Linked DNA regions of Lonchura striata. The protein of the gene in region 2 purifies or fractionates together with the protein of the main gene of each other region. This does not show direct contact. Links are inferred from orthologs where the notes say so. Each region holds a gene or a part of one and is shown on either strand. Other genes may lie near its edges. The genes, in order: PRKCD, SP1, CEBPB and SMAD4.

Region 1 (7,542 bases), on a different chromosome or scaffold from region 2:
CGGCCACAGCCCCACCTCCAGGCACAGCTGGCACTGAGAGGTGGGGAAGGGGCCCCTCTCTGTGGGAGCAGCAGCAGAGCTGAGCTCCAGCTGTGGCTGGGCAGAGGGCAGATTTGTGCCTCGGCACAGAGGCAGGCTGACAGTGCAGCCCTTCAAATGGGAACAAGGATGGACGGTTAATTTAAGCTATTAGGCCCTAAAGTACTCACCAGAATCACGGGCTGGTAAAGGTTGGTAGGGACCTTAAAGACCACCCAGTTCCACCCCCTTGGCACAGGCAGGGACACCTTCCACTAGAGCAGCTTGCTTAAAGTCCTGTTCAGCCTGGCCCTGAACACTTCCAGGGATGGGACTTACTCTGAATGGACTTTACTTGTAATGACTGCGGCTTTTAGACGTCAAAATAAACTCTGAAGCCTGAAAGCTTCTATGCTTTTCCTGGGAAATCAGTTACTTTAGTAACAGACGGCATCTTTCCAAGATTTATTGTTATTTCCTAGATCTATATAGCATCAATTAGCCAAGTTATCTTTAAGGGATTCTTCTAAAGATTTCTTTTTAAGAAATGTACCTAGAAAATGTAAGTTATAAGTTAGAAATAGTTTCTAAATAATTCCTTCTGTACAGAGTATCTTTTCATCTATGTTGTGTGACCAAAAAGTAAAAATTATTATGCTATTTCACTATTCCATTCAATTAAAAAAACAGGACCCTACTGTATGATTATGTCTAATGAAAAGGTGGGTTTTAATTAATGAAGCACAAAATGGCAAAGAAATTAACAATGAGCTCTTTTCTGGTGATAACAATACGAGCATCTTCCTGATTAATTATGTCACACATATTGCCTGAGTAGAATCACCTTATAACTTTCCCATTACCCACAGAGAACATCACATCTGTGTAACTGAATATATTTTTCTGTATGTTTGTGTCAGCCACTGAGTGGCAGCAATTCCTTCATACCTAAATCTGAATTATGAGATACAGGATGAAAATCTCAAAGGATTCCCAAATCTAAATTCTTTTGCGCTGCCCCTAAGTTCTTTTGTGTTTAGCAGTGCAGGAAAATAATAACAACTAGTGAAATATCCTATTGCACCTTTGAATTTTTTAGCTGAAGTTTCAAAAATAATGCACTTCATTCTGAAAATCATATGTCCTTAGAACTTAGATGTATTCAATTTTACAAAACATAGCAAAACTGTGTGGGTCAAAGAAACTGAAAATGCCAGCATTTAATAATTTCTTAAATTAAAGCACACACCTGTATTTTATTATGAAATCTAAGATGAGGATCAGAAACATTAAAAAAAAAAACCCTAAACCCATGTTTTGCAGGTTTGTTTCCTTTCCTTAGTATTTGTAGGTTTCCACAGCAGTGACATGGGGTGACTGAAATCTATCAGTCCAAAGACACACAGCTCATTTTTAACACAGCCATTTTCAAAACTAAAATAAACAGGAAACCCTGCATATACACTTAAAAAATGCTTATGAATTACTGCTTAACCACTTAAGAAGCAGTTCTTCATAGTGTTCCTGCTCAGAAATCTATGTTGCTTACAGCTTCCTATGTGATTAGCACAGTGCTGCATGGCATTATTTGACAGACTGAAAGCTAAAGAGTTAAGTTGCTATTACATTGTTAATAGACTGTTGACTGTACAAGTCTGGAGCAAAAAAGATTTAAAAGGAACAAAACACACTGCAAGGGTATCAAGGATTTTTATACTGGTTATTTGTAGAGATACTAAACATGGCAGTTCAGGCTTTAAACAAGTCTCTAAAACTAGGTAGAGATCTAGTACTAGAACTGATTTTCCCACACCCATCTGCTCTGCAGAGTCAGTTCTCTCCTCGGACATATGAAAGGATGGGATACAGGGCAGTGTCATCCTTGCACATAAACCTCCTAGGTCCAGATCTACACTCTGCTCTCTGCTTCAGTGCTACTTGGACAATCTAGAAGTGAAGTGGTGCAACAACAATCAGGGCCCGCAAGTAAACTAATGTCAGATGTAACCACAAAATGCTGTAATCCAATTATTTTAATATTTCATGCTCTGATGCAAGTGGGGAATTCTCTAGCAATGAACTGAAAATTGTTTTTTAATAGATGCACGGCTGGCATGTACGTACACAAAAGCATCAGGCATTCCTGCTCCTTCATTTCTTACTGTCTGTCGCCATTCAGCTGGAAACTGACCATTCGAAAGACTGTGCATTTCATCTGCCCAAACTCACTGCAGCACGGAGGCTGAACAGAGAGTCAGGTGGTAGAAAAAGTTGGTGGTATCAAAGTCGTTACTTCTGCCGGGAGGAGACTCCACGCTCCTGTCAGGGACGGACCCCGGGGTCTCGCCGCCCGCCCGCACGGGGCACAGCGCTGTGCCCGCCGCAGCCCCCGGGCTCGCCCCGCTCCCCAGCGGCCGAGGGGGCTCGGGCGGGCCGGGGCCGCAGCCCCATCCCCACACCCAGTATAGAGGCTCGGGGGAGGCAGCCCCGGGCCGGGGGCGCAGCCCCATCCCCGCACCCAGCATGGAGGCTCGGGGGAGGCAGCCCCGGGCCGGGGGCGCAGCCCCATCCCCGCACCCAGCATGGAGGCTCGGGGGAGGCAGCCCCGGGCCGGGGGCGCAGCCCCGCCGCCTCCCGCCCCAGCCGGCGCCGGGGCGCTGCCCGGGGCACACGGGGCACGGCGGCTGAGCCCCGGCACCCTCGCTCTTCCTCCCGCTCGCTCTGCGCGCCGGGCGCCCCACGGAAGCCGGGCGGGCCGGAGGGAGCCGGAGCCCGTCTCGCTTCCTCCTTCACCCCAGGCGGGGCAGGAACTGCCGGGCGGCGGCAGCGCCGCGCCGGGGGCAGGTACGGGCACTCACCGCGTCCGGAGAGCCGTCGGGAGCCGCGGCCACCGCCGAGTTTCGGGCGCTGTCCCGGGAAACAGAGAGCGAGAGCGAAGGAGTGCGGGCGGAGCGGCGGGCGGGAGGCAGCAGAGTGTGCCCGGCACGGCCCGGCCCGGCCCGGCCCCGCGCTCCGCCCCGCCCCGGCGCGGCTGCGGCCACGCTCACCTGCTCCTGCCGCCGCCCCGCCCCGAGCTGCCGTGCCAGGCGCCGGCCGTCCCTGCCGGGCTCCCCGCGGCTCGTCCCCGCCCTGCTGCCCCTGCTCTCCTCTCCCCTGGCGCTGGCCGCGTGTGGCAGCGCCCGAGCCCTCAGGGGGAGCCCCGCCCGAGGCTCGGTGCCGTGCCGAGGGAGGGAGGGGCCGCGGCAGCGCTCTTGTGGTGGTTGGGGTTTGGGAGGTGTTGTTCCGCTGGTCACCCGGACTCGGGGAAGCACCGGGGTTTGAGGTGCCGGAGCTCGGAGCGAGCCCCTGCCCGTCTGCAGGGCTGAGCTGTGCTCAGGTGTCCTCAGCCTTTACTGCGGTTTTGGTTAAAACATTCCTTAATGGCTTAGAAGCCACGGCCGAACCGCGTAGCTCTGCGGTCGCTGCCGTCGCCTGAGCGAGCTCACTTCAGAGACCTCAGCCTTGGAGGCCTTCACGGGGTCATTTTGGGTCCCAGCCGGGGCTACCCCAGTCCGTGCTCTGCTCTGAGTGATGGGGCTCGGTGTTTCTTCAAGTGCTGTAAGCGTTTGTTTTAAAATGAGGTATTTTAGGGATGGGGTGCAGCACAGGAATGGGTAAAGTGTAGGAACCAGAGAAAACACCTTTATACTTCAAGGCAGACCTTTGTCATCACTTTTTAACTCGCACAGGTCATGTAGAATTGCTCTCAGGTTTTCATCTTAAATGACCTCATTCAGCTCTAGCTGAAAACGGTGATGAAATTCCCAGTGTTTCTGTGGTGCTGTGGTAACTGGGTTTTTCTCTGGGCAGGTGCCAGCCCCTGGTGTGCAGTGCGGATGTCACCACTGCAGGGGCTGTGACCCAGCTGTTACATTGCTGCAGAGTCCATTCTGAAACGCCAAATTCCACCCATGTGATGTCCAGCTTCTTTCCAGAACATTTCACTTGACAGTTATAAGGTAATGTCAAAGTTCCTTGCTTGTGCTGTCTGACATCATCTTGGAAAGGCTATAATAGGCATATAAATCAGTCAATAGTTAATTTATACTTGAAGAGTCTAATTTGAAGAAATATTTTTCAAAATTGAGAGCTCTAGTAGATATATTACAGTTTGGGTGAAAGCAAAGGAACAGAGTCATCTGAGGTAATTTCCTTTCTACTTCTGCTGCAAATTAAACTATGTAGTATTTTGTACAGATACATGTTCTTACGCATGATTAAGTGTGGGGTGTTGTTTTTGGCTGGAACATTTAATAATATTTCTCTGTTTGGGGAGAGAATGTAATCTGATTAGCTATAGTGCTGTAATAAATTGTATGAGGACCCTCATTTAAAATCATATAGGCTGCTGTTATGCTGAAATCTGGAGAAGCTTTATATGCTTGAGCAGTTAATGAATGTCATGTAATAAAAGCAAAACTAAAACTAGTTTGAATGAGAGAAGAAAAAGCAGAAGCTAATTATAGTGAGGAATTTTCCTCATTTCAATATGTCCAGAGAAGTTTGGAAACAGTGCTTTAAAATTTATTTTATTTAGCTTCATGCTCTTTGAGCATTTAATGGCATGTAAATGGTCAGAGAGAGTCCATTTTCATTTGTGACCTGACCATATAATGTTGCAGCAGACCATTAGTTAACTACTGCTGTATTTCAATTATTTAGAGCATTACTTTTGTCCAAGTCTTTCTGAAACAAAGAGTCATTTCTCATTTGGACTGTGGAAAATTTTGCAAGACCTAAAGAGCTTTGCCTCTCACATCTTTGCTCAGACAATGGGCTCAAGTTGGATTAGGGCTGAGTAAAGATGTAAAAATTTGATCCACAGGAAATGAAATGCGAGAGTCTTCTCAGCTATTAATGTGACTTTAGAAATTTGAGGTGTTTCCTGGTACTGAGACTTTCTTGCTGCCTATTTTCTGTAATTTTTCCTATACAACTTAGCTGTGCTTAATGCATGGAAATGCTCCTACAGCTGGAGAGAGTCTTTCCTCAGAATAGATTTTAATGCAGCTCAGAAGGCTTTATTAAGCCATTTTATGTCCAGTGGATTTGAGAGGGGGATGAAAATCAGTTCTAAGTGAACATCCTTTAGCAGTACTCTCTGTCAGCTTCTAAGTAAATAGGAAGAAATACTAGATTTCATAGTGATTACAGGGTAACTATTGGAAAGGAAAAGGGCATTACTGTCTCTGATCCATTTTCCTGAAATGTGCCTTTGGATATTTCAAAAAAAGAAAACAGTCTCAAGCTGAGTTAAAACATGTCATCTCTTTGGTAGCTGGATAGACATCCCAATAATTCCCAATCCCATGGTAAATCACTGCTTTGTTCCAGGGGATCTCTGGGGAGAAGATGAACTACCAGGGCCTCCCACAGCTGGATTTTCTCTTGTATTTTCACATAGAGAAAACCTGCTTTACCTGGGGTCACTTAATTTTTGCCATATGATAGGATGACAGTAAGGGGTGATGTGACTTTGAACATGCACATTAGAAACAAAAGTTAGAGATAAAATTTTCTGCAGCAAATATAAACAAAAATTTTCTAGTGGAAGTTAAGAACTGCTTCTCTGAAGATTTCTGAGGCAGACTGGTGCAAAATTGCTTTTCACAAGTGTGTAATAACCTATTGTGAGCTGAAAGACTATATCTACAGTATCTGTTACCTCCAGCAAACAAACCTGATTTTAATCCTGATGGTAGATACCTCATTTATGCAAAGATGAAGCCTTTTGCAAAAGTGTAATTTCAGAACAGAAAACAGTCATGGCCGTTGCTGCCATTTTTTTTTTCACAGCCCCACTTTGTAGCAGGACTTCACTGGTCTCTCAGTCCCAAGCCTAACCACCAAATGCCGGCTCTCATTTCCTCTTTTCTGATAGTGGTGGGAGGTGTGAAGAGTCTGGTGGTGGTGGGAGTTTCCACCCATAACCTTCTACACGGGTCTGTGGTCTATTGTGTAGATTCACTTTTTGAAGTGTTCTGAGCATTGTTCATTGTCTTCAGCTTTGCCTTAAGGTTGAGATGAGAGGCTTGTATTCTCTGTCAGGCTTTTCCTCCAGGTTTTCATGCTTTTCTCTGTGAAGGGCATGAACTCTTTATGGATTAGCAATGAGACAGATACTGATTTGGTCACGTGAAGGCCTGGGTGCCATAAACTTGGGCTGATGTCCAGGTGAAACAGGAATAAGGCTGCCTTTCCTGACCTTGTAACTTTAAAGATTCTTTTGATAACAACATACATTAATTTCTACTGCTTATCTTTGCAGTTTTTTATACTGATTAAGGAAGAGTTTTTTCTTTGAGTTGGTCTGCTTGCCATTTTTTTCAAACTTGGAGCTGAGTTGTGTTTTTCCTACTTTGTCAGGGTTCGCTTGTATGGATGTTGCATGTGCCTGTGCAACAGGCAAGAGCACTCTGCAGGGGAGAGACTGTGGATAGGCACTACACCTAGGAGAAATTATCATCTCTGTGCTTCATTTGCTGTGTTTTAGAGCTTGAATATGAGTAATATTCTGTGCCTAGCAGAGTTTAAGTGGAATGATTTTTTTTTTTTTTTTTTTTCCTGGAGTATGAGATGTAGAAGTTAGTGGCTGTGCTGGCGAAGATCCTGGTGTCAGATGCAATCATGTGAATTTCAACATGTTTGTGTAACTAAGTTACTGCAGAGGCTTTTTTGTTATCAGAATAGAACCTTAAGAATTTGAGATTAAAATGAGATATGCTTATATCCCGACCACTCCAAAGTTCTGATCATTTGAAGGAACTTTTATATAAGATTCATTTATAAACCAGACAAGTGAATAGTTTCCTGACTGTTTTGCTGAAATGCCTGCTTAGAGCATTGCCAATTCTTGTTATGTTTGGTGCTTTTAAAGCCTTATTTCCTTGAGGAAGTAATTGGATTAAAATCTTGGGCTTTTTATTTTTTTTTTTGTCTTTCTTAAATAAAACCTATTTTTTGTGTTTGTCCAGAAGGTACATGCACATGTCATCTTGGAGTTCCTAAAGGATTGAAAATCTGGGCTACGTATAAGAGGAACACAAAGTCTCTTGAAGTTTTACAAATATCCCCATGCTGCCTTCTGTTGTTGAGGGTAGGAGACTGATCCCTGCATTTTGAACATTGGAGACTGTAGTTAGTTTTTAAGAATAATTGAAATTAGAAAAAGGTTTTTATGGTGTTTGCTGCCTACACCCCCTTACATTTGGTTTCAACATGCCAGCTGCCAATGTTGATTCTGAGCAATGTAAGTGTTCTACTTCCCCTTATGACAGCTTTTTTTTGCTGTTAGTTAATATAGATGGGAGAACAAGGAAGTGTATGTATTGCAGGAAGCAATTTTCTTGCTCACCACAGTCCTATTCACAGTTGGTTTTATATTCCTCTGAGAAAACCGTGCTGTGAAAGAACACAAGCAATGTTTTCTGATTTCTTGGTTGGTTTTTCATCTCTTTTGAAAAAAAAATGATTTTTGGTCTTAAT
Region 2 (7,890 bases):
CTCCCTGCATGGGGGCCAGCGTGATTGTCTGCGCCTGGGGGTTCTGCACCTGCAGGTTCTGCAGCTGGATGGTCTGCCAGCTCACCTGCCCGTTGGGACCCACCGTGGGCGTGCGGATGATGATGGGGCCGGAGTTGGGCACGGCTTGGAGCTGCAGGTTCTGCAAGGTGTCTTGGGAGATGGCTTGAGTGGCAAAGGTCTGCCCAGACAGCGGGGTGGTCTGGAGGGCTTGGATCGTCTGCCCTCCTTGGACCAGCTGTGGCTGGATCAGGAGCTGCTGCTGCTGCTGCTGCGACTGCTGACTCTGATCCCCCTCCTTCTGCTGCCCCGGCTGCAGGGCCACCCCGGACACCGGGGTCTGCAGAGAGTCCGAGCTGGGGACGCTGCTGGCCCTCTGGGGGGTCTGTGACTGCACGTTGGTGCCCACCGTGGCGCTGGTGGAGAAATTCATGACGCCCACGTTACTGGTGGTGGTGGTGGTGGAGTAGCTGTTGGCGTTGGTGAAGAAAGCGCCCGAGCTGGCCTGGGATGTGGCCGTGCTGCCCGAGCTGCTGGCAGCCCCCGAGGTGGCCGGCTGGGAGCTGCTGTCCGGCGAGCCCGAGCTGCTGAGGGTGCCCGTCTGGGACGTGGGGGCCAGGCTGGCGGCCACGCTGTTGACCGGCAGCAGGGTGATGTTGCCGTTCAGGGCCACGGGCACGTTGGCCACGTACTGGGTCTGCCCGGAGAGGCTGTTGTTGGCCAGCCCCACGCCCTGGATGGGCACGGCCTGCTGCAGCAGGTTGGGCATGGCGATGAGGTTGCTGCCGCCCGCACGGCTCGTGATGATCTGCTGGTTGGAGCCGGGGATGATCTGCAGCTGCCCCGAGGCATCCTGCTGCACGTTCACCTGCGCCGGGGTGGTGGCAAACTGCAGCTGCTGCCCGTCGATGGTCTGGAACTGGGGGATCACCTGGTACTGGATGTTGGGGATGACGCCCGGCAGGCCCGTCAGCACCTGCTGGTTCTGCAGGCCGGACGCCGAGGTGACCACGTAGGGCCCGGTGCTGACCGGGCGGCTCTTGGAGGCGTCGCCGCCGTTGCTGCCGTTGCTGCCCGGCTCCTTGGAGCCCGTGGGGGTGCTGGAGCCTGCCGAGATGATCTGCCAGCCGTTGGACGACTGGGTGAGCTGGGCGGCGGCCGCGTTCAGGTCCAGCTCGCCGCTCCCACCCTGCTGGCCCTGGGAGCTGTTGGAGTTCTCATTGGGAGACTCGATGCGGCTGCAGGTGGCTGCCAGCAGGGCCAGCGGGGACGGCTGTGACTCCTGGGGACGAGAGGAGGAGTTACGGGGCTGGGAGGCGGCCCGAGGGGCAGGCCCGGAGTGAAAAAAAAAAAAAACAACGGGGAAACAAAAAAAAATAATTAAAAAACCAACTTAAGAAAACAGGGAGGAGCATACTCGGAAAAGATAAACACTCCTTCCTGAACAAACCCACCCACAGCCGGAAAAATACAACTGCCAGGCACAAGGCTGACAGGCCGGGACAGCCTGAACCCACACGGAAAAGCCTTTTGGGAGGGAGCCTGCCCGGGAAAGCCAAGAGAGGAGAGGGCTCCTCCACTGCCGAGCCGGGCAATCCCCCTGAGGCACGACGAACCCCCAGGAAGGAGGGTCATTCCCGGGCTCCCCGAGCTGGAGACGGGCCAGCGGGGGCCGTGGTGTCACCGGGAGCAGGGGAACTGCGTGTTTCCGAGGAGAGCCGGGGAGGAGGGGAAGGCACCGGCGCTGCTTGGCAGCGCTCACCCTCCTCTTCCTGCCCGGGCTGAAACGCTTGCCCGGGCCCGGCAGACAGCTCAGCCCGGGCCTGGACTTTGCCACGGGCTCCCCGGGGCCAGCGGGGCCGATCCTCCCCCACTCACCTGCGTGTCCCCACCGCCGGCGCTGCTCGTGCTGCTGGCGTCGCCTTCGCCCTTGTCGGGCTTCACAGCCGACATCTCCTCGGTGCTCTCTTGGTCTGCGCAGGAGGGAAGGGACAGCCCCGGTTAGGGACATTTTGGGGCAGGGCAGCGGCACGAGGCTCGGCAGGGCCAGGCAGGGCCCGGAGGGGACACGGCGGGCTGGCTGCGGGGGGACCACGCGCTGCCGGCGCCGCCGGGAAGGGGCTGCGGAGCGCGGGGAGCTGCCAAAGAGGAGCTGGCAGCGGGACAGGGGGGGAGGTCCCGGCCGCGCTCCAGGGCCCGGCTCCTCCCCGGCCGCCCGGGACACTCCCTGGCCCCCGCCGAGGAGCTCCCCGGCGCTCCCGTCGCCCGGCCGGGGCACGCACCTCCCGCCGCGGGATCCCCGGCCCGGGGCTGCCCGCCCGCGGCGCCCCCAGCGCGGGGGGCTCCTCTCCCACCAAGTCCTCGCTCTGCCGGCGCTCAGCCGCCTCCTCATCCTCCGCCGGGCACCGGGGCTGCGCCCCGCTGCTGCCGTCACCCCAGCACCCCTCACCGGGGTCTGCACCGGGGACGGGGCGCGCAACGCCCCCGGCCGCTCGCTCCTTCCCGCGGCTCCCGCACGGCCCCCCCGCCCCCGGCTCCCGCATCCGCCCCCGCAGGGCGCCGTGCCCGGCTCCGGGGGAAAGCCCCCGGGCCGCTGCGCCCGCAGCCGCCCACCCCCGCGGCCTCCCCCGCCGTCCCCGCGCCCCCTCCCCCGGGATCTCGGCCGCCCCCCCCCGCCCCCAGCCCCGCTCCCCGGGGCCTCCCCATCACTCCCCGCCGCCCCCTCCTCCGCTCCAGCCCTGCCCGGCGCGGCCGCCGGTCCCTCCCCCGAGGCCTTCCCCCCTCCCCCGGGTCCCTCCCCCGGCAGGTCCCCCCGGCGCGGCGCGGCGAGGCCCGGCCCGGCGGGGCCCGGCCCGGCGGGGCGGGGCCGCCTCTGGCCCCTCCGAGCGGGCGGGCGCCGCCGCCTGTGCGTGTGCCCGGGGCCCCGCGCGGCGCTCGGCCCCGGCCCCGTCCTTACCGCTCATGGTGCCGGGGCCGGGCCGGGCGCGCGGGGCGGGGCGGGGGCGCGGGCGGGCGAGCGGCCGAACCCGCCGGTGCCGCCGAGGGGCTGCCGAGGGAGGGGCCGCGCGCCGCGGCCGCAGCCCCGCGCCCCGCCCCCGCCGCCCCCGCAGCCAATGGGCGCCGCGCGAGCGGCGGAGCGACGGGCAGCGCGGCCAATGGGAAGAGAGGGCGGTGCGGCGCGGGGGGAGAGGAGGGCGGGCGGTCCCCGCCCCCGGCACCCCGCCCCGTGGGGGAGGGGGAGCGCGGCGGGGCGGCGGCCAATGGGGGCGCGGGGGGGAGGGGGCGGGCGGCGGCTCAGCCAATCGGCGCCCGCGCGGGCTCGCAGGGAGACCCCGTATGGGCGCGGCCGCGGCGGCGCGGGCCGCGGCGTGATGAACGTGCGCCGCCGCCAATGGGGCGCGGGAGGCCGGGCGTGGCGGTCACCGGCAGCGCCCCGCGCCAACCGGCTGCGCGGGCCGCGCCGCGGGGCGGGAGAGGAGCCGATAGTGATGGTAGCGGCCGCTAATCCGAGCGCGGAGGCGGCAGCCGCGGCGCGGCCCGCAGCCAATCAGAGCGCCGCTCGGTCTCAAACGGGCCAATGGGCGCCGCGGGGGGGCGGGGCCAGCGGCCGGGCTGCGCCCTTGGGGGGACGGCGCGGCGGATGGCGGCGCCGCCATGTTGGGCTCGGCTCCCTCAGGGCCGGCCGCGCTCCCCGGGCCCGGCCGGGGCTGTCCCCGCCTCGGTACCGCGGGCTGCGTGCGGCTCTTCCCTCCTCGAGTCCCCGCTCCGTGCCGCAAGACGGCTCGGCCGTGTCGCGACAGCCGCCATGGCGGCGCGACACGTCCTCAGGAGCTGTGTGAAGCCCAGAGCCCTGTCACGACATCGCCCTGTCCCGACACAGCGGGCAGCCCGGCCGCCCTTGCCGTGGGAGCGCGGCCTGGGGGCTTTGGGGCCCAGATCCTTCATTTCACAGCAAAAGGGGCGCTTTGGGGGCGGCAGGGACAGCGAGGGACACGGCCCGGCCTTGGTTTCGCTTTCCACCGTCAAAATCGCCCCCCGTGACCCTCCCATTTCCCGCTGTTTTCGGCCCAATTCCCACCCCGCAGCCCGGGAAGGCCCCGCGGCCTCGGCCCCGCACCCGACGGGGCTTGGGGACAACCTGGCTCTGACCCTGGCCCTTCCCTGTCCCTGCCCTGTCTCTGCCTTATCCCTTCCCTTCCCTGTCCCTGCCCTGTCCCTGCCGTGTCCCACTCTTGTCCCTTCCCTGTCCCCATCCTGTCCCTTCCCTGCCCTGTCCCCCTCTTGTCCCTGTCCTGTCCCTGCCCTGTCCCCATCCTGTCCCTGCCCTGTCCCCCGGACCATGGGGGTCACTCGGTGTCCCCTTGTGACCCGCGATGGTGGCACCTGGGGTGGTCACCGGGACTGTCCCCGTCCTGCCACCGGAGCTGAGCCCGGGGGCTGCGCTGGGCTGGGGGGTCGAGGGCAGGTCCTGGCCCGTCAGACCCCCCCTCACCCCGTTATCCCAGCCGGGTCCTTGTCCCGGTGACCCCCTCCGGTAACTGCCCCCTCTGGGGACACCCATGGCCCCCCAGCCCCGTCGGGCCTCCTCCAATTAACACCCCCAATTAACCCCTCCCTGCCCCGGGACCCCTCCCCCGTGTCCCCGCGCGCCCCCCGGTGGTCGCGGCCGGGCGGTGCCGCCCCCGGGCCCGAGGCTTTGCTGCCGCCTGGCGGGGGCGCCACGGGCACCGGCAGTGTCACCGTGTCACCGGCAGTGTCACCGACAGTGTCACCGAGTGTCACCGGCAGTGTCACCGTGTCACCGGCAGTGTCACCGACAGTGTCACCGACAGTGTCACCGGCAGTGTCACCGTGTCACCGACAGTGTCACCGACAGTGTCACCGTGTCACCGACAGTGTCACCGACTGTCACCCGCCATGACAGGACCCGGGCACCAACGGTCACCGACTATCACTGACAGTGTCACCGACTGTCACCCACCACAGTGGGACCTGGGCACCGACTGCCACTGGTCCTGCCCTGGCACCAGCACTGTCACTGGTCCTGTCCTGGCACCAGGAGCGTCCCTAGCAGTGTCCCCCGTCGTGTCGTGCCCCCAAGGGTGTCCCCAAAGCTGCCCTGTCCTGTCCCACACAGTGCCTCCATCCCTGCCCTGTTCTGTCCCCATCTCTGTCCTCAGCCCTGTCCTGTCCCCGGGGTTCTCACATCCGGGTGCTGTCCTGTCCCGTGTCCCCAGAAGTGTCCCCAACCCTGCACTGTCCCTGCGCTCCCTCTGCTGCTGTCCCCAGGCCTGTCCTGTCCCCATCGTGTCGCTGTCCCCGCCTCCCCCTGGCCGGGGCGGCTCAGGGCACGGGGACAGAGGAGCCTCAGCCTTGGACTGGGGGCAAACTGGGAGCACTGGGGCGGGCCGGGGGGGGCAGCGGGGTTAGCCTGGGGTGCCCCACCCCCGCTGCCACCCCCCGATTGTCCCTCTGGGTCCCCCCCTCCCCCGGCAGGTCGCGGCCGCGGAGGAATCAGGGCGACGCCGGGCGACTCCCAGCAATTTTGGGTTGGGAACCGCAGAAATGCAGCGCGGCGCGAGCCAGGGCGGATCGGCCCGGGGACAGCGACGGGCGGGGGACCGGGGGGGGAGCACGGGACCGGGGGGTCACAGCCCCGGGGGGACCGGGGGGGGACACAAGGCACCGGGGGCTGAGACACCCGGGGCATCCTGGGGGGCTCAGGGCTGGGGAGGGGTCGCTGCAGGCTGGGGGTGGTCCCAGGGTCAGGGGGGTCCCTGGCAGCGTGGAGGGGTCCCGGGATATTGGGGGAGGGGGTGTCCAGGCGTGGGGGGAGTCCCTGGCAGCTTGGGGAGCAGGTGGGGTACCCCAGATTTCCATGGGAGGGTTTCGGCAGCTTGGAGGGGACAGGGGGCACGGTGGCAGCTTGGGGGGCTCCTCTCGCAGCCTGCGGGGGTCCTTCAGCAGCCGGAGGGGGGGCCAGGCCCCCGGTGCCGCCCCCGCGGCTGCCGCTGCCACCGCTCTGATGTGGCTTCGGCACCGCAGCGCAATGGGAGCCACATGGCGGGGGGGACACGGGGGGAGCACACGGACCGGGGGGCGGGCTCGGGGTGCCCGCGGTGCTGGGGGCCACCGCTGTCCCCCCGGGAGCACCCTGTACCCCCGGGACCACCCTGTCCCCCCGGGGCACCACTGTCCCCCCAGGACCACCCTGTCCCCCCGGGGCACCCTGTACCACCGGGGCACCACTGTACCTGTCCCCCCGGGATCACCCTGTACCACCGGGGCACCGCTGTCCCCCCGGGGCACCACTGTACCACCGGGGCACCGCTGTACCACCGAGACCACCCTGTACCCCCGGGGCACCACTGTACCTGTCCCCCCGGGACCACCCTGTACCTGTCCCCCCGGGACCACCCTGTCCCCCCGGGGCACCCTGTACCACCGAGACCACCCTGTACCCCCGGGGCACCACTGTACCTGTCCCCCCGGGACCACCCTGTACCCCCGGGACACCGCTGTCCCCCCGGGAGCACCCTGTCCCCCCGGGACCACCCTGTACCCCCGGGACCACCCTGTACCTCCGGGACACCACTGTCCCCCCAAGGCCACCCTGTCCCCCGGGGCCTGCCCGGGGTCTGTCCCCGGTCCGTCTGTCCCCACCGGGGGTCCGTCCGGCTCGGTGCCCGTGTCTCCCCCCCCGCCCCCCGCAGTTATTTCCAGGGATAATTCCGGGATAATTAAAGGGTGGGAGGAAACACCGGGGCCGCGGGCGCAGCTCAGCCCCGGGGCCACCCTGCGCTGGCTTCCCCGTGGGTGGGAGCCCCCCAGCCCCACTGCGGGTGCCCCTCTGTCCCTGCAGGTCCCTGTCCCCGTCCAGCCCCGTGTCCCCACACGTCCCCCGGCTCCTCCTGCCCCCCACCTTCCCCCCGCTTTCCTCCTGCCCCGCAGACCCTCCCTGTGCCCCGCCTTGCTGAGGGGCATCTCTGGGATGCCCGGGAGGGCTCCGAACACCGGGTGCCCCCCGTGGGTGGTGCTGGGTGGGGGGAGCTCGGCCCAGTTCCGAGCCCTCGGAGCCTCCGCCGGTCCCCCCGGTCCCGCGGGGCCCGTGGGCGGCCGTGGCCGGCGCACCCAGCGCGGGGGCTGCGCTATTTCGGGGCCTCCGACCGCAAGGGAAACATCCGGGGGCCGGGGAGGGCGGGCGGGGCAGGGCCGGGCCGGGGGGACACGGGGGACACCGCGCCAGGTGAGGGGTGGGGGGACGCGGGGATCCCCGAGCTGGTTCCGCTTCCCCCCCCCGACCCCGAGGGGCTGCGGTGCCCCCGCCGACACCGCGGGGATCGGGGGGGACAGCACTGCCGGGACCCCCGCACCGGGCACGGAGCGTTTCCTGGCCCCGGGGACCGGGATGGGGACAGGGACACCTCCGGCCCTGCAACCCCTGTCGTGCTGAGACCCCCCCAAGACTCATCTCAGGGGGCTGAGACCCCCCAAACTCGTGTCATGGTGGAGCTGAGATCCCCTCAGATTTGGGACAGAGCGGCTGAGCCCCCTCAAATTCGTGCCAGCTCCGGAGCCACGCTGATAAACGGGGGAGGGATGGGAAGGAGGGATGGAGAGGAGGATGGAGGGAGGGATGGACAGACGGACGGTGGCTGGCCGGCTGCCCGTGGACGGAGCCCCCCCGCTCCGTGTCCCCCCCGCCCTGGCGAGGTCCCGGCGTCCGGCCGGGTATAAATACCGGGTAATTGCGGGGGCCCGGCGCGGCCGCGGGGCCGTGGGCGGCCGAGCCCGGCGCCGCCCTGTAATCAGCCCCCGCCGCCGCCCCCCCGCGCGGCCGCCGCGCTTTGAAGGGTCCCGGGGCACACGGGG
Region 3 (6,430 bases), on a different chromosome or scaffold from region 2:
AAAATTGTTCATTAATGCTTCAAATGTAGCAAGAATGCATAGATCCCAAAATATACATATGTATTTTCTTATAGAAATAGATTATTCTTTATAATAAAAAAACTGTAGGAACATCTTTAACAGATTACTCAATCCATGACTGACAGTTACACGAGATTGCATCATGTACACAGCATTCCCAGCCATGCTTAAAGGATTGCATCACTTTGCCCTTGCTCTCCTCTCGCTCTTTTAAATAACCCAGCGCCCAGCAGAGCCCGCCCGGGCCGGGGCCGGGGTCCCCCCGCCCGCCCCGCTGCAGCCCCGGCCCCGCTCAGACCCCGCGCGGCGGCGGAGCCTTCCGCCAACATGTCGATAGAGACAAAAAAAAAAAACAAAAATCCAACAACAACAACAACAACGCAAATGAAAACCAAAGCCGCCCGCCCGCCGCGGGCTCTCGGGCCCTCGCCCCGGCCCCGGAGCGCGGAGCGGGGCCGGGAAGAAGCGGCGGCTCCGCTGCCCCGCCGCCCGGCCGGGGGTCAGCAGCGCGGCGAGGAGGCGAGCAGGGGCTCGGGCAGCTGTTTGAACAAGTTCCTGAGGGTGCTCAGCTCCCGGGAGAGCTGCTCCACCTTCTTCTGCAGCCGCTCGTTCTCGGCCGTCAGTTCCAAGACTTTATGCTGAGTCTCCAGGTTGCGCATTTTGGCTTTGTCGCGGCTCTTGCGCACCGCGATGTTGTTCCTCTCCCGGCGGAGCTTGTACTCGTCGCTGTGCTTGTCCACGCACTTCTTGGGCTTGTTCTTGCCCGCCGGGGCGGCGGAGTAGCCCCCGCCGGCGGCGGCGGACTTGGAGGACTCGGAGGGGTTGGGGGTGCCGGGGGGGCTGGAGGAGGATGAGGTGGACAGGTTCCCGCTGCTGCCGCTCGGCACCGACTGGTAACCCAGGTAGGAGCGCACGGTGCTGCCGTAGGGCGAGGACATGCCCCCCGGTCCCGGCCCCGCGCCCCCTTCTTCCTTCCGGGGCCCTTTGCAAGAGTCCAGGGTCTCGAAGACCGGCTCCACTTTGGTTTCCACGATCTGGGGCGGGAAGCAGCCCTGCAGCCCCCCCGGCTTGTGGCTCTGGCTGGCGCAGGGGTGGCCGTGCCGGGCGAGGCTGATGTAGGTGTAGTCGGGCTTCTTGCCGCCGCCGCTGCCTTTATAGTCCTCGGCGAAGAGATCGGAAAGGAAATCTTGGCCGGCGCCGCTGCTGCACGGAGGCTCAAAGTTGCCCCCTGCTGCTGCCGCGGGAGGCGGCGGCTGCGACGCCAAGGGCTCCAGGTACGGGCTGAAGTCGATGGCTCGCTCGTGGTCCCCGACGGTGAGCTCGGTCATGGAGCGGCCCCCGGCCGCCCGCGGGTGCAGCTTGTTGAGAGCAGCCAGACAGTCCGCCTCGTAATAGAAATTAGCCACTTCCATGGATTTAAAGGCGGGCGGCTGGATGGGGAGGCATGCTGCGTCCCAGGCCACCAGGCGTTGCATGAAAGCAAAGGGGGATGCGGGGAGGAGGAAACGACGCAGGGGACCCCCCCCGGCAGAGGCTCAAGCTGCCGCCGTCAGGGTGGGGGGCTCCAGACCCTGCCGCGGTCTCTGGCCTGGGCACGGCCCCGCGGCGCTGCCCGGCCGGGCTGGATCAGTCCCTGCGGCGCGCCGGGGCTTCACCGCTCCGGCAGCTGCGGCGGGGGCTGGCGCGTCTCCTCCGGACCATCTGGTTCTGGGTCCCGTGTCCTAAAGTCTCTGACTTAGGAAAGTTCCTTTCCCCAGTTATTTATAGGGGCGGTGGATCCCATAGCAACAGGCGCGTCACCGCCTGGCCGCCTGCCACTCCGCACGCTCGGCGCTGCCGGTCCCGGCCCCGGAGGAGGCTCCCGGGGCGGGCGCGCCGGTGCCGAGCGGTGCCCGCCGGGCCGCCCACAGTGCACCGGGCCGGGCCGGAGGGAGGGGCCGGGCTGCGGGCCCGCAGGTGCGGGAGGTCGGGGCTGCCGCGGCCAGGGCCGGCCGGGACGGCAGCGGGCAGCGGGCAGGGCAGCGGGCGGCCCCGGGGACAGCGTGTGCCGGGCGCTGCCGCTGCCCCGTGCCCGCCCGGGCTCTGCCGGGGCCCGCACAGCGAGGGGCTGGCAGTGCCCGGGGCTGGCAGTGCCCGGGGCTGGGCACAGATCGCTCCGCTTCCCTAGGGGAAGTCAAGGCAAGAGAGATTTTTCCAAGTTCTTTTGGCAAAGAAGGGGGAAAGCTGCACACCAAAGCCGGATCCCGTTACTCGGCGTCCCGGGCTCGCTTTGGCGAATCCCACTGGCACAGAAGTGCCACAGGGACGTGCCCAGAGCCGCTGGGCAGCGGCGAGCCCGGGGCCGAGCGATGGGGCTGGAGCAGGGCACTGCCCCGGCCTCCTCCTGGCGGCCGCAGCACCGGAGCCCGGCCAAGCCAGCGCTGCCTCCCGGCGCTTCCAGCACCCATGGGGGCCCTAGCGTTTGTCTTGGCATATTTGCTCTGCACGATGTGGGGCAACTGTCAGGGCACCCACGGGAGCCGGGAGCAGGGAACCGGCTCTGGAGCCAAAGGAGACGGAATGGGGGCCAGAGGAGAGTGAGGTTCGTGCATCAGAGGGTGGAATCCAAAAGTTTTGAGATTTGCGGGGTAAGTTTGGGAAGGAAGACTGAATCCCGATGTCCGTTTTAATTAAAGACACCCACCTTGGGAATCAAACTTATATTTTCACTCTCTTACTCCCACATTTACCTGTCTACAAGCTGATGATTCATGCCCAGAATAAAGGACATTAATTTAAAACAAAACATATAATTAAAGGAAGTAGGAGTGTCCTCCCTCAGTAAAGAAGACCTAGCACTGCAGGGAAAATGACACTGCCTCTTAGAATAATGTGAAGCAATCCTGCGGTGTGGGAAATATTGTAACGTTAAGCCAGAGGAACAGGTATTGCATTATATGATTCAAACAGTCAACTGTTCTTAATGTTCAAACCTCAGAACTCTGAAAAGAGGAAGAATTTAAGAATCAGTCAGTGGATCATCAGACTTTTTCTTTCTCTTTTTTTTTTATTTTTCTTTTCACGTTTTAATAGGATTTATTTGTTTGTTTCCATAACAAAAGCTCCCTAACAGGTTTTCAGGCTTCAAATATTTCTAGTTCCATCTTTATCTACCAAGTTAATCTTTGGTGAATGCACTAGAGATTAAGTTGGAGCTGGGCCTGGCCAGAGAGCTGGGTCTGGAGATTGTAGTTGGAGCCCATACCTTCATAAATACAAACATCTGTATTGGGTGCAAATACTGGCAAGCTGCAGTGAGCCAGGGCTTGTTCTTCTGGCTGTTTACTCCCTCATCCTGTGCCTTTATCCTGCATTCTGATCTGGCAGTTACATCCAGTGGCTGCCCTAACTGGCCCTTCCAACCGAACTCTTAAAAACCAGTCTGGTGTTTCCTACCCCAAACCGTCCCAGGGCCCCAGGGCAGGAGCCCTCCTGGGCACTGACCCGCTGCAGGCACAGCTGGTCTGCCTTGGCATCGCCCCGACGTGTCCACAGCTCGCCGTGGTCCTCAGCTGAAGCCGAATGCTAAAGCTGCTCGGTGAAGTTCTTGAAGAGATTTTCACGACGGTTTTGGGGATCTGCGTTTGCCCTCTTCAGATTTCTGCCCTGCCCTCGGCTGCTGTGCAGCAGAAAGCTGTATTCCTGCCGGGGTTGACCTTCCCTGACAAAAGGCAGTGAAACGTCCGCGCCGCTGCCGCGCGGAGCAGATCCTGCCGGCCCACGCTGAGTAATCCTGCAGTCACCCCACCGCGCCAGCCGGGCGGCAATCCAGGCCGCTGCCCAGCCTGTCCCCTCCTTCCCTCTCCCCCTCACCTCCCTGCTCTGCCTGGATCCCTTTCAACTTCCTCCAGCTCACCTCAAATCCCAGCATCCACTCTCCTGGGGCCAACGTCCGCTCCCAGCTTCTCATGGGAACCTTGTTGGCGGGACTAACCACGGATCCAAAACCCCAGCGTTCGGCAAGCAGGTTTGGGGCTAACTCTGGTCTCTTTTAAATTATTTCTGCACTTGTCACAACAAATGCACGGCCACGAGTGGGGATTTGGAAATGGGAGCAGGTGCAGAACGAGGCTCACACCGCAGGACTGAGCCGAGGTCTGGGCACACAGGGCTCCGTGCCTGTGAGTGCCTGGCTCGGCCTTGCCAGATGTGCAGAGACTGCTAATAATTGTCCTGAAAATTGGCCTGAAAAGCTCCTCAGAGGTGCTTTAGGCAGGGAGATGCAGACATTCCTGGTTAAGGGACCCAGGCACTGGCAGCAGCCCTTCAGCTTGTCTCCCAGCAGAGCAATTTTCATTATAAAAGCAGCACTTCTGTGAAAAGCACCTTCCTTCTAGTGATTTCATAATTTCTTTTTTTTTTCAGAACTATTCAGCTAAGGGAGGAGACAGCAAAAGTCCCAAATTACTTAGTAAGAATATAACATTTTTGAGAAAAAATTCTGATGCAATAGCATCCAGGTTCCTCTACATTCATATGTAAAACAATCCAGACAAAGGGAGGGGAACAGAAGGAGACCAGCATGGTGAAAAGGTGGAGGGAAGAATCTCATCCTCACTGCTCATCTCTGTCATGAATTAAACTCTGCTCTCTCTTTTTGTATTGTGGAAGCCTCAACTTTGCAGCTCAGACCCACAGTAAAGCATCGCAGAGGAATTTTCTTCCTGGAAATTGTCTTCTTTTCCAGGATTTCTTGCAAACTTTCCAGTTCACACACTCCAGGTCTACAGCAGCTGCCTCTGGAACGACACCAGCTTTGGGGAGATGCTGTGAGTTTAGTGGGGATGGCTCAGACACTGGAGTGTTTATCAGAAGGTCTCTGGAAAGAGCCTGGCTGACATTTCTGATGTTTCTTGCTCAGTTTTGCCCCATTTATTATTCCCCTGGCAGTCGCTCTCAGCAGGTCAGTAAGATCAGAGCTGCCTGGTGCTGGAGCTGCTCGTGCAGCAGCAGAGGGGCAGAGCAGGGCAGCGGGCAGGAGGGCGATGCCAGCAGCCGGCAGCCACAGCAGTGCCTGAGGTGCTGCGGGAGGGGTTGGAGGTGAGGAGGGGAACGGGAGGGACCCCAGAGCAGCGTCCCTGCAAACAAGCACGGAAGGTCTCTGGGGGGTAGGAGGGGACCTTGCCTAAAAGAACAGTGTTGCAATAAAGGCTGTAGAATAGAGAAGTAACATTGAAATTTATTTCTGAGCATGTTGAGCCCTTTTTTCCCTTCTGCCTAGCCCCAGGTCTCTCTTTATTCAGCTGCACACCATATGCCAACAGCAACTCAGCAGCTGCACCTGGCAGAGCACAGGTTTGAAACCATTGCTCTTCACTTGCTGTTCTCTGCTGTAAAACAACAGCCCTTGATGAATGCCAGGCAGGGACAATGTCTCAGCTCAAGGGAGAGGCTGGCTCTCCATCTGTCTGCCCAGCTCAGGCCAGGCTCGAGACTTTGCTTCATTTGAACACGAAAAGGGATTGCCACAGCTTTGCCCTGCTGCCCCGTGGCTGGTGCCGCGCTGGCAGTCCCAGGGGCAGGCTGTGTCTGTGGCCTCCTTCTCTTCTTTTGTTACAGACCGGGGTCCTGCCCCCAGCTCCCTCACCCTGTTCCCGTGGGACACGGTGATGGGCTGGGACATGCTTTTTGTTGGTCTTCTGCTGATTTTCTCTCACCTCTGACCCAGCAGGCTTGGCCTTTGCAGCGCTGCGTTGCTCAATCCCCTTTATCTCCACGCTGCTCTTTGCCCCAGCGGGTGAGTGGAGACGACACCTGGAGACTGACTCCAGTGGGACAACATCAGCCAAATGCCCTCCCGACCAGACTGAAAACTTTCCAGAGCAAACCTGAGGTCAGAGCAGCCACCCTGTGGCGCTGAGAAACAAGGAAAGGAGGAAGAGTCAGGACACCAAGGCCCATGGAAGCACAGGCCACAATCTCCATCCTGCATGGCAAAGTCCCTGCAGGAGCTGTCTGTTGGAAGGATGTGGGCTGGCAGTCTGAGCAGAGACAGTGAGAGGTGGCTGTATTTTATGAGTAGCCCGTTTCCTTGTGCTCCATTAAAATGGCAGAGAAGTTGCTGTCCACTAAGTTTCAAAAGTTCTCTGTAATTGCCTGACATTTCCTGGGTAATTGCAGCCTCCTGCTTTGATGAATTTGTTACAGGTCATGCATTTATGACATCTGGAGTATCCAAGCTTTCAAAAGATCCATCAAGAGAGATGAATTCTACCCTTCCAGGGTACCCTACAGAGTGTCAGAAGTTCCTAGTAACAGGACTTGGTAATTCATTTAGGAAATTTCTAAAAGAGAACTCTTCTGCAGTCCTGAGGCTGTGGGACAGACAGCCTGAACTCCATGGGGTGTATGGCAAGGGGCAACATAAAAC
Region 4 (7,024 bases), on a different chromosome or scaffold from region 2:
TCTGGGCACAGGATCCCTGGGTCACTCTGGGCACAGGATCCCTGGTCAGTGTGGGCACAGGATCCCTGGGTCACTCTGGGCACAGGATCCCTGGTCACTCTGGGCACAGGATCCCTGGTCAGTGTGGGCACAGGATCCCTGGTCACTCTGGGCACAGGATCCCTGGTCAGTGTGGGCACAGGATCCCTGGTCAGTGTGGGCACAGGATCCCTGGTCAGTGTGGGCACAGGATCCCTGGTCAGTGTGGGCACAGGATCCCTGGTCACTCTGGGCACAGGATCCCTGGGTCACTCTGGGCACAGGATCCCTGGTCAGTGTGGGCACAGGATCCCTGGTCAGTGTGGGCACAGGATCCCTGGTCAGTGTGGGCACAGGATCCCTGGTCAGTGTGGGCACAGGATCCCTGGTCAGTGTGGGCACAGGATCCCTGGTCAGTGTGGGCACAGGATCCCTGGTCAGTGTGGGCACAGGATCCCTGGGTCAGTGTGGGCACAGGATCCCTGGTCAGTGTGGGCACAGGATCCCTGGTCACTCTGGGCACAGGATCCCTGGTCAGTGTGGGCACAGGATCCCTGGGTCAGTGTGGGCACAGGATCCCTGGTCACTCTGGGCACAGGATCCCTGGTCAGTGTGGGCACAGGATCCCTGGGTCACTCTGGGCACAGGATCCCTGGTCACTCTGGGCACAGGATCCCTGGGTCACTCTGGGCACAGGATCCCTGGTCAGTGTGGGCACAGGATCCCTGGGTCAGTGTGGGCACAGGATCCCTGGTCAGTGTGGGCACAGGATCCCTGGTCACTCTGGGCACAGGATCCCTGGGTCACTCTGGGCACAGGATCCCTGGTCAGTGTGGGCACAGGATCCCTGGGTCACTCTGGGCACAGGATCCCTGGTCACTCTGGGCACAGGATCCCTGGTCAGTGTGGGCACAGGATCCCTGGTCAGTGTGGGCACAGGATCCCTGGTCACTCTGGGCACAGGATCCCTGGGTCACTCTGGGCACAGGATCCCTGGTCACTCTGGGCACAGGATCCCTGGTCACTCTGGGCACAGGATCCCTGGGTCACTCTGGGCACAGGATCCCTGGTCAGTGTGGGCACAGGATCCCTGGTCAGTGTGGGCACAGGATCCCTGGGTCACTCTGGGCACAGGATCCCTGGTCAGTGTGGGCACAGGATCCCTGGGTCACTCTGGGCACAGGATCCCTGGTCACTCTGGGCACAGGATCCCTGGTCACTCTGGGCACAGGATCCCTGGTCAGTGTGGGCACAGGATCCCTGGTCACTCTGGGCACAGGATCCCTGGGTCACTCTGGGCACAGGATCCCTGGTCAGTGTGGGCACAGGATCCCTGGGTCACTCTGGGCACAGGATCCCTGGGTCACTCTGGGCACAGGATCCCTGGTCAGTGTGGGCACAGGATCCCTGGTCACTCTGGGCACAGGATCCCTGGGTCACTCTGGGCACAGGATCCCTGGTCAGTGTGGGCACAGGATCCCTGGTCAGTGTGGGCACAGGATCCCTGGGTCACTCTGGGCACAGGATCCCTGGGTCACTCTGGGCACAGGATCCCTGGTCACTCTGGGCACAGGATCCCTGGGTCACTCTGGGCACAGGATCCCTGGTCAGTGTGGGCACAGGATCCCTGGTCAGTGTGGGCACAGGATCCCTGGGTCACTCTGGGCACAGGATCCCTGGTCAGTGTGGGCACAGGATCCCTGGGTCACTCTGGGCACAGGATCCCTGGTCACTCTGGGCACAGGATCCCTGGTCACTCTGGGCACAGGATCCCTGGTCAGTGTGGGCACAGGATCCCTGGTCACTCTGGGCACAGGATCCCTGGGTCACTCTGGGCACAGGATCCCTGGTCAGTGTGGGCACAGGATCCCTGGGTCACTCTGGGCACAGGATCCCTGGGTCACTCTGGGCACAGGATCCCTGGTCAGTGTGGGCACAGGATCCCTGGTCACTCTGGGCACAGGATCCCTGGGTCACTCTGGGCACAGGATCCCTGGTCAGTGTGGGCACAGGATCCCTGGTCAGTGTGGGCACAGGATCCCTGGGTCACTCTGGGCACAGGATCCCTGGGTCACTCTGGGCACAGGATCCCTGGTCAGTGTGGGCACAGGATCCCTGGTCACTCTGGGCACAGGATCCCTGGGTCACTCTGGGCACAGGATCCCTGGTCACTCTGGGCACAGGATCCCTGGTCACTCTGGGCACAGGATCCCTGGGTCACTCTGGGCACAGGATCCCTGGTCAGTGTGGGCACAGGATCCCTGGTCAGTGTGGGCACAGGATCCCTGGTCAGTGTGGGCACAGGATCCCTGGTCAGTGTGGGCACAGGATCCCTGGGTCACTCTGGGCACAGGATCCCTGGTCAGTGTGGGCACAGGATCCCTGGGTCACTCTGGGCACAGGATCCCTGGTCACTCTGGGCACAGGATCCCTGGGTCACTCTGGGCACAGGATCCCTGGGTCACTCTGGGCACAGGATCCCTGGTCAGTGTGGGCACAGGATCCCTGGGTCACTCTGGGCACAGGATCCCTGGGTCGCTCTCCACTCTGCGCTGCTCGCTGTGTCTGCTCGCCCGTTCCCTTCCCACATCCCAAACTTTGTTCCGGGCCGGGCGGTGTTTCCCCGGCCCAGCGCGGTGTCCCGGCTCCGGCCCCGGGGCCGTCCCGCGGGGAGCCGGGCCGGTGCCGCGGTTCGGGGAAGGGTCCCGGGCGCGGGCCCGGCCGGTCCGGCCTTACCTGGGCGCGGCCGCCGAGGGGGCGCGGGCAGGCCGGGGCCTCCGGCCCGGGCGCGGCGGCGGCGGCTCGGGGCAGCCCCGGCGCCGCTGCCGCTGCCGAGGTGTCGGTGCCGGTGCGGTGCCGGTGCTGTGCCGGTGCTGTGCCCGTGCCCGTGCCCGTGTCCCGCTCGCTCCGGTCGCTTTCGCCGCCGCCGCTGGTCCCGACACGTCCGGGCCGCTGCCACCGCGCATGCGCCACATCCGGGTCCCGCCGCGCCTGCGCCACATCCGGGTCCCGCCGCGCATGCGCCACATCCGGGTCCCGCCGCGCATGCGCCACATCCGGGCCCCGTGGCGCATCCGCCATATCCGGGTCCCGCCGCGCATGCGCCACATCCGGGTCCCGCCGCGCATGCGCCACATCCGGGTCCCGCCGCGCATCCGCCACATCCGGGTCCCGCGGCGCCTGCGCGGGCGGGCGCGTTGTGTTTGTGGTTGGCGGGCGGCGCGCCGCGGGGAGAGCGGAGCGGGCGGGCTGCGCTCCGGGGAACCGGGATTTCGCTGCATCCCACGGGATATCACGGGATCCCACTGCATCCCACGGGATATCACGGGATCCCACTGCATCCCACGGGATATCAAGGGATTCCACTGCATCCCACTGGATTCCACAGCATCCCACAGCAATCCACAGCATCCCACTGGATTCCACAGGGTCCAGCTGGGTCCCACTGGATCCCGCTGCATCCCACGGGATCTCACAGGATCCCACAGCATCCCACGGGAACCCCCAGCATCCCACTGTATCACACAGCGTCACTATGGATCCCATGGAATCCCACGGGATCCCAATGGAGCCCCCATCATTATGCTGGATCCCACAGCATCCCACGGGATCCCAGAGTGTCCCACGGGATCCCACTGGATCCCACAGCATCCCACGGGATGCAGGATGCGGGATAGCCCCAGGGAACCAGGAGTGCGGGCAGCATCCCTTCCCCACCCTGGCAGCACCCCCGAGCTCTGCGGGACACGGACCCTCCCTGGGCACTCCAGGGATGGGATCCAACCCTCCCTGGGCAGTTCCAGTTCCTGAGCCCCCTTCCATGGGGAAATTCCTGCTGGTTCCACCCTGAGCTGCCCTGGCCCAGCCTGAGGCCGTTCCCTCTCCTCCTGTCCCTGTTCCCTGGGAACAGATCACAAATCCCCCCCGGCTGTCCCCTCCTGTCAGGAGCTGTGCAGAGCCACAAGGTCCCCCTGAGCCTCCTTTGCTCCAGGCTCAGCCCCTTCCCAGCTCCCTCAGGAACTCTCCAGCCCCTTCCCAGCTCCCTCAGGAACTCTCCAGCCCCTTCCCAGCTCCTCAGGAACTCTCCAGCCCCTTCCCAGCTCCTCAGGAACTCTCCATTCCCTTCCCAGCTCCTCAGGAACTCTCCATTCCCTTCCCAGCTCCTCAGGAACTCTCCATTCCCTTCCCAGCTCCTCAGGAACTCTCCATTCCCTTCCCAGCTCCTCAGGAACTCTCCAGCCCCTTCCCAGCTCCTCAGGAACTCTCCCAGAATTTGGCACTCGCAGCCCTGCCCGCAGCTCTGCCTCCCCTCTCCTCATCTCCCCAGGCCAGCTCGGCTGGAAAGGAAAAGCTGTTTTAGAACTGAAGCCTTGGACATTCCTGCCCTCGCAGTGTGGAGCTGGCATTGGACACAGGGCAGGATGTGCTGTGCCCCCGGAAAAATGCGATGTGCTTTTCCTGAGTCCAACAGGATTTTGGCAAGGCACTGGCGCGCTGTCACAGCCGCCCTAATGAGAACCAAGAATAATGGGAATTTTAAAAAATTGTTGTGTTGCCCTGTCAAAACTTTTCCTGCTCTTGCTGTTCAGTCATTTACAGTCACTTCCACACGCTGAAGGCCTTAGGTTGAAAAGCAATATATAATACTGCTGCATTTGTCATCCCTAGGTGTAATTGCAGCCTCTCCGCACCAGGATTCGCCGGGTGAGGCACAAATTACCTTTTCCTGGAGGAATTCTGGCTGGGAGATGAGATCTCCAGCCCAAGGCGGTGTCCCACACCGGGCACTCGTGGCCCTGCCGCCTTGGCCAGCCCCACAGCAGCACCCCGCGTGCCAGGGGCGGGTTGAATTAGCACTAATTAAAGAGATAACGAGCACAGCCCCTTCTGCCTGCAGCCACCTGCACCCTCAGCCAAGGAGATCTCCTCACACCCAGCGGAAGTGCTGGGGTTTGTGTGGTGAACCTGGCAGTGCCACCCTGAACTCAGCTCTTGGAGAGGCCTTGTGAGCTTGGGGACAATGTCGGGGCTGGTTTTCATTGCAGGAGCTGCAGGGCCGCTGCATCGGGGCTGGGTGCCGTGCAGAACCACCCCTGCAGCACAAGCGTTGCATCGCATCCCAGCTCTCGGGGCTCTGGCAGCGGAGGTGACCCCGAGAATTCCAAAATTCCTTTCTTCCAGCCCACCCAGCCGAAGCAGGAGTGGGAATGCATAGGGTTGGTTTCTCGAGGTTGTTAATTCTCTATTATCTGCAGCGTTCTTTCTCAAGGAGCTGCGCTCTGTCCAGCAGGTCACTGTGCACAGAATCCGCCCTTGGGATGGTGTTTACATTCTACACCAAAAACTACCTCTTACAATAATGTAAACATAGTTTGTAGTACCTATGATTTATGTTGGACAGTTTGTCTGTACCTTAAACCAACAGAAAAGTGTCACCAGCACAGCAAGACATGGAGGGCAAGGAGAAGGAGAAGGAGAAGAGAAGGAGAAGGAGAAGGAGAAGGAGAAGGAGAAGGAGAAGGAGAAGGAGAAGGAGAAGGAGAAGGAGAAGGAGAAGGAGAAGGAGAAGGAGAAGGGAAGGAGAAGGAGAAGGGAAGGAGAAGGAGAAGGAGAAGGAGAAGGAGAAGGAGAAGGAGAAGGAGAAGGAGAAGGAGAAGGAGAAGGAGAAGGAGAAGGAGAAGGAGAAGAGAAGGAGAAGGAGAAGAGAAGGAGAAGGAGAAGAGAAGGAGAAGGAGAAGGAGAAGGAGAAGGAGAAGGAGAAGGAGAAGGGAAGGAGAAGGAGAAGGAGAAGGAGAAGGAGAAGGAGAAGGAGAAGGGAAGGAGAAGGAGAAGGAGAAGGAGAAGGAGAAGGGAAGGAGAAGGAGAAGGAGGAGAAGAGAAGGAGAAGGAGAAGGAGAAGGAGAAGGAGAAGAAGGAGAAGAGAAGAAGAAGGAGAAGGAGAAGGAGAAGGAGAAGGAGAAGGAGAAGGAGAAGGAGAAGGAGAAGGAGAAGGAGAAGGAGAAGGAGAAGGAGAAGGAGAAGGAGAAGGAGAAGGAGAAGGAGGAGAAGAGGAGAAGGAGAAGGAGAAGGAGAAGGAGAAGGAGAAGGAGAAGGAGAAGGAGGAGAAGAGGAGAAGGAGAAGGAGAAGGAGAAGGAGAAGGAGAAGGAGAAGGAGAAGGAGAAGGAGAAGGAGAAGGAGAAGGAGAAGGAGAAGAAGAGAAGGAGAAGGAGAAGAAGGAGAAGGAGAAGGAAAAGGAGAAGGAGAAGAAGGAGAAGAGAAGAAGAAGGAGAAGGAGAAGGAGAAGGAGGAGAAGGAGAAGGCCAGGACATGCTCAAATCCCTCCATCTTGTCCCCTTGAACCCCACTGGAAAACCCCCAAAATTCTACTTTTTCACCCTGTGTTAATTCAACCACCACGCCACTCAAACCCTTGTGGCTTGTAACTCCTCACACAGAGTTGGCAGCTTTTTCCATGGGCTAAAATCAAAGCCACGGGTGTTTTTGTCTTGTGCCAGGGTCTGGGGACAGCCAGGGCAGCCAGAGGGGTGAGCTGGGCTCTGGCAGTGCCCCGGAGCACCCTGTGTTTATAAACACCTCTGTTCCAAAGCCACTGCCCCGAGCTGCCCATCGCCGTGTTCCTATTGTTAATAACAACAATAATGAATTTAATTATGAACACAAATTAATAATTCGCCATTCATAACACAAAATGCGCTCAGCTGTCCCCGTGGCTCCGCGCCAATCCTCGGATTTCAGGGAGAGCTGGGCCAGCCCTGCCGGCTCGGCAGGACGCACATTTCTGGAACCAAAACCACGCCAGGCGGATAATTAACCGCTGCTCCTTACAGACAAACGTAGCGCAGCGAGAGACAACTCTTTCCAAAGCCTGTTAGAAAAAGAACACAAAAAACAAACAAAATCATAACAGCAACAAACAAATCAAAACAAAATCCCCAAAAAACACAAAAAATACCCCCACAACAGCAACAAAATGCTGTCACAAAACTTTTCACGTCTCCTTCCGTC

The links.
Region 1: the proteins of SP1 (region 2) and PRKCD purify together in Homo sapiens (affinity purification with western blotting; 3 studies listed by BioGRID, with this or other methods). This does not show direct contact. The link is inferred for Lonchura striata from reciprocal best matches to the Homo sapiens genes SP1 and PRKCD.
Region 3: the proteins of SP1 (region 2) and CEBPB purify together in Homo sapiens (affinity purification with western blotting; 4 studies listed by BioGRID, with this or other methods). This does not show direct contact. The link is inferred for Lonchura striata from reciprocal best matches to the Homo sapiens genes SP1 and CEBPB.
Region 4: the proteins of SP1 (region 2) and SMAD4 purify together in Homo sapiens (affinity purification with western blotting; 4 studies listed by BioGRID and IntAct, with this or other methods). This does not show direct contact. The link is inferred for Lonchura striata from reciprocal best matches to the Homo sapiens genes SP1 and SMAD4.

Annotation. Positions count from the first base shown.
Region 1 is NC_134614.1:8,628,278-8,635,819, forward strand, and holds the start of PRKCD (protein kinase C delta type), read right to left. Parts: upstream 3,017-7,542; 5' UTR 2,877-3,016; intron 1-2,876.
Region 2 is NC_134629.1:8,069,523-8,077,412, reverse strand, and holds the start of SP1 (transcription factor Sp1), read right to left. Parts: upstream 3,020-7,890; 5' UTR 2,982-3,019; coding exon 2,975-2,981; intron 2,540-2,974; exon of another isoform or gene 2,301-2,539; intron 1,992-2,300; coding exon 1,897-1,991; intron 1,328-1,896; coding exon 1-1,327. UniProt on the Homo sapiens protein: Transcription factor that can activate or repress transcription in response to physiological and pathological stimuli.
Region 3 is NC_134619.1:966,725-973,154, reverse strand, and holds CEBPB (CCAAT/enhancer-binding protein beta), read right to left. Parts: upstream 1,770-6,430; 5' UTR 1,497-1,769; coding exon 522-1,496; 3' UTR 507-521; downstream 1-506. UniProt on the Homo sapiens protein: Important transcription factor regulating the expression of genes involved in immune and inflammatory responses. Also plays a significant role in adipogenesis, as well as in the gluconeogenic pathway, liver regeneration, and hematopoiesis.
Region 4 is NC_134642.1:1,015,987-1,023,010, forward strand, and holds the start of SMAD4 (mothers against decapentaplegic homolog 4), read right to left. Parts: upstream 3,009-7,024; 5' UTR 2,755-3,008; intron 1-2,754. UniProt on the Homo sapiens protein: In muscle physiology, plays a central role in the balance between atrophy and hypertrophy. When recruited by MSTN, promotes atrophy response via phosphorylated SMAD2/4.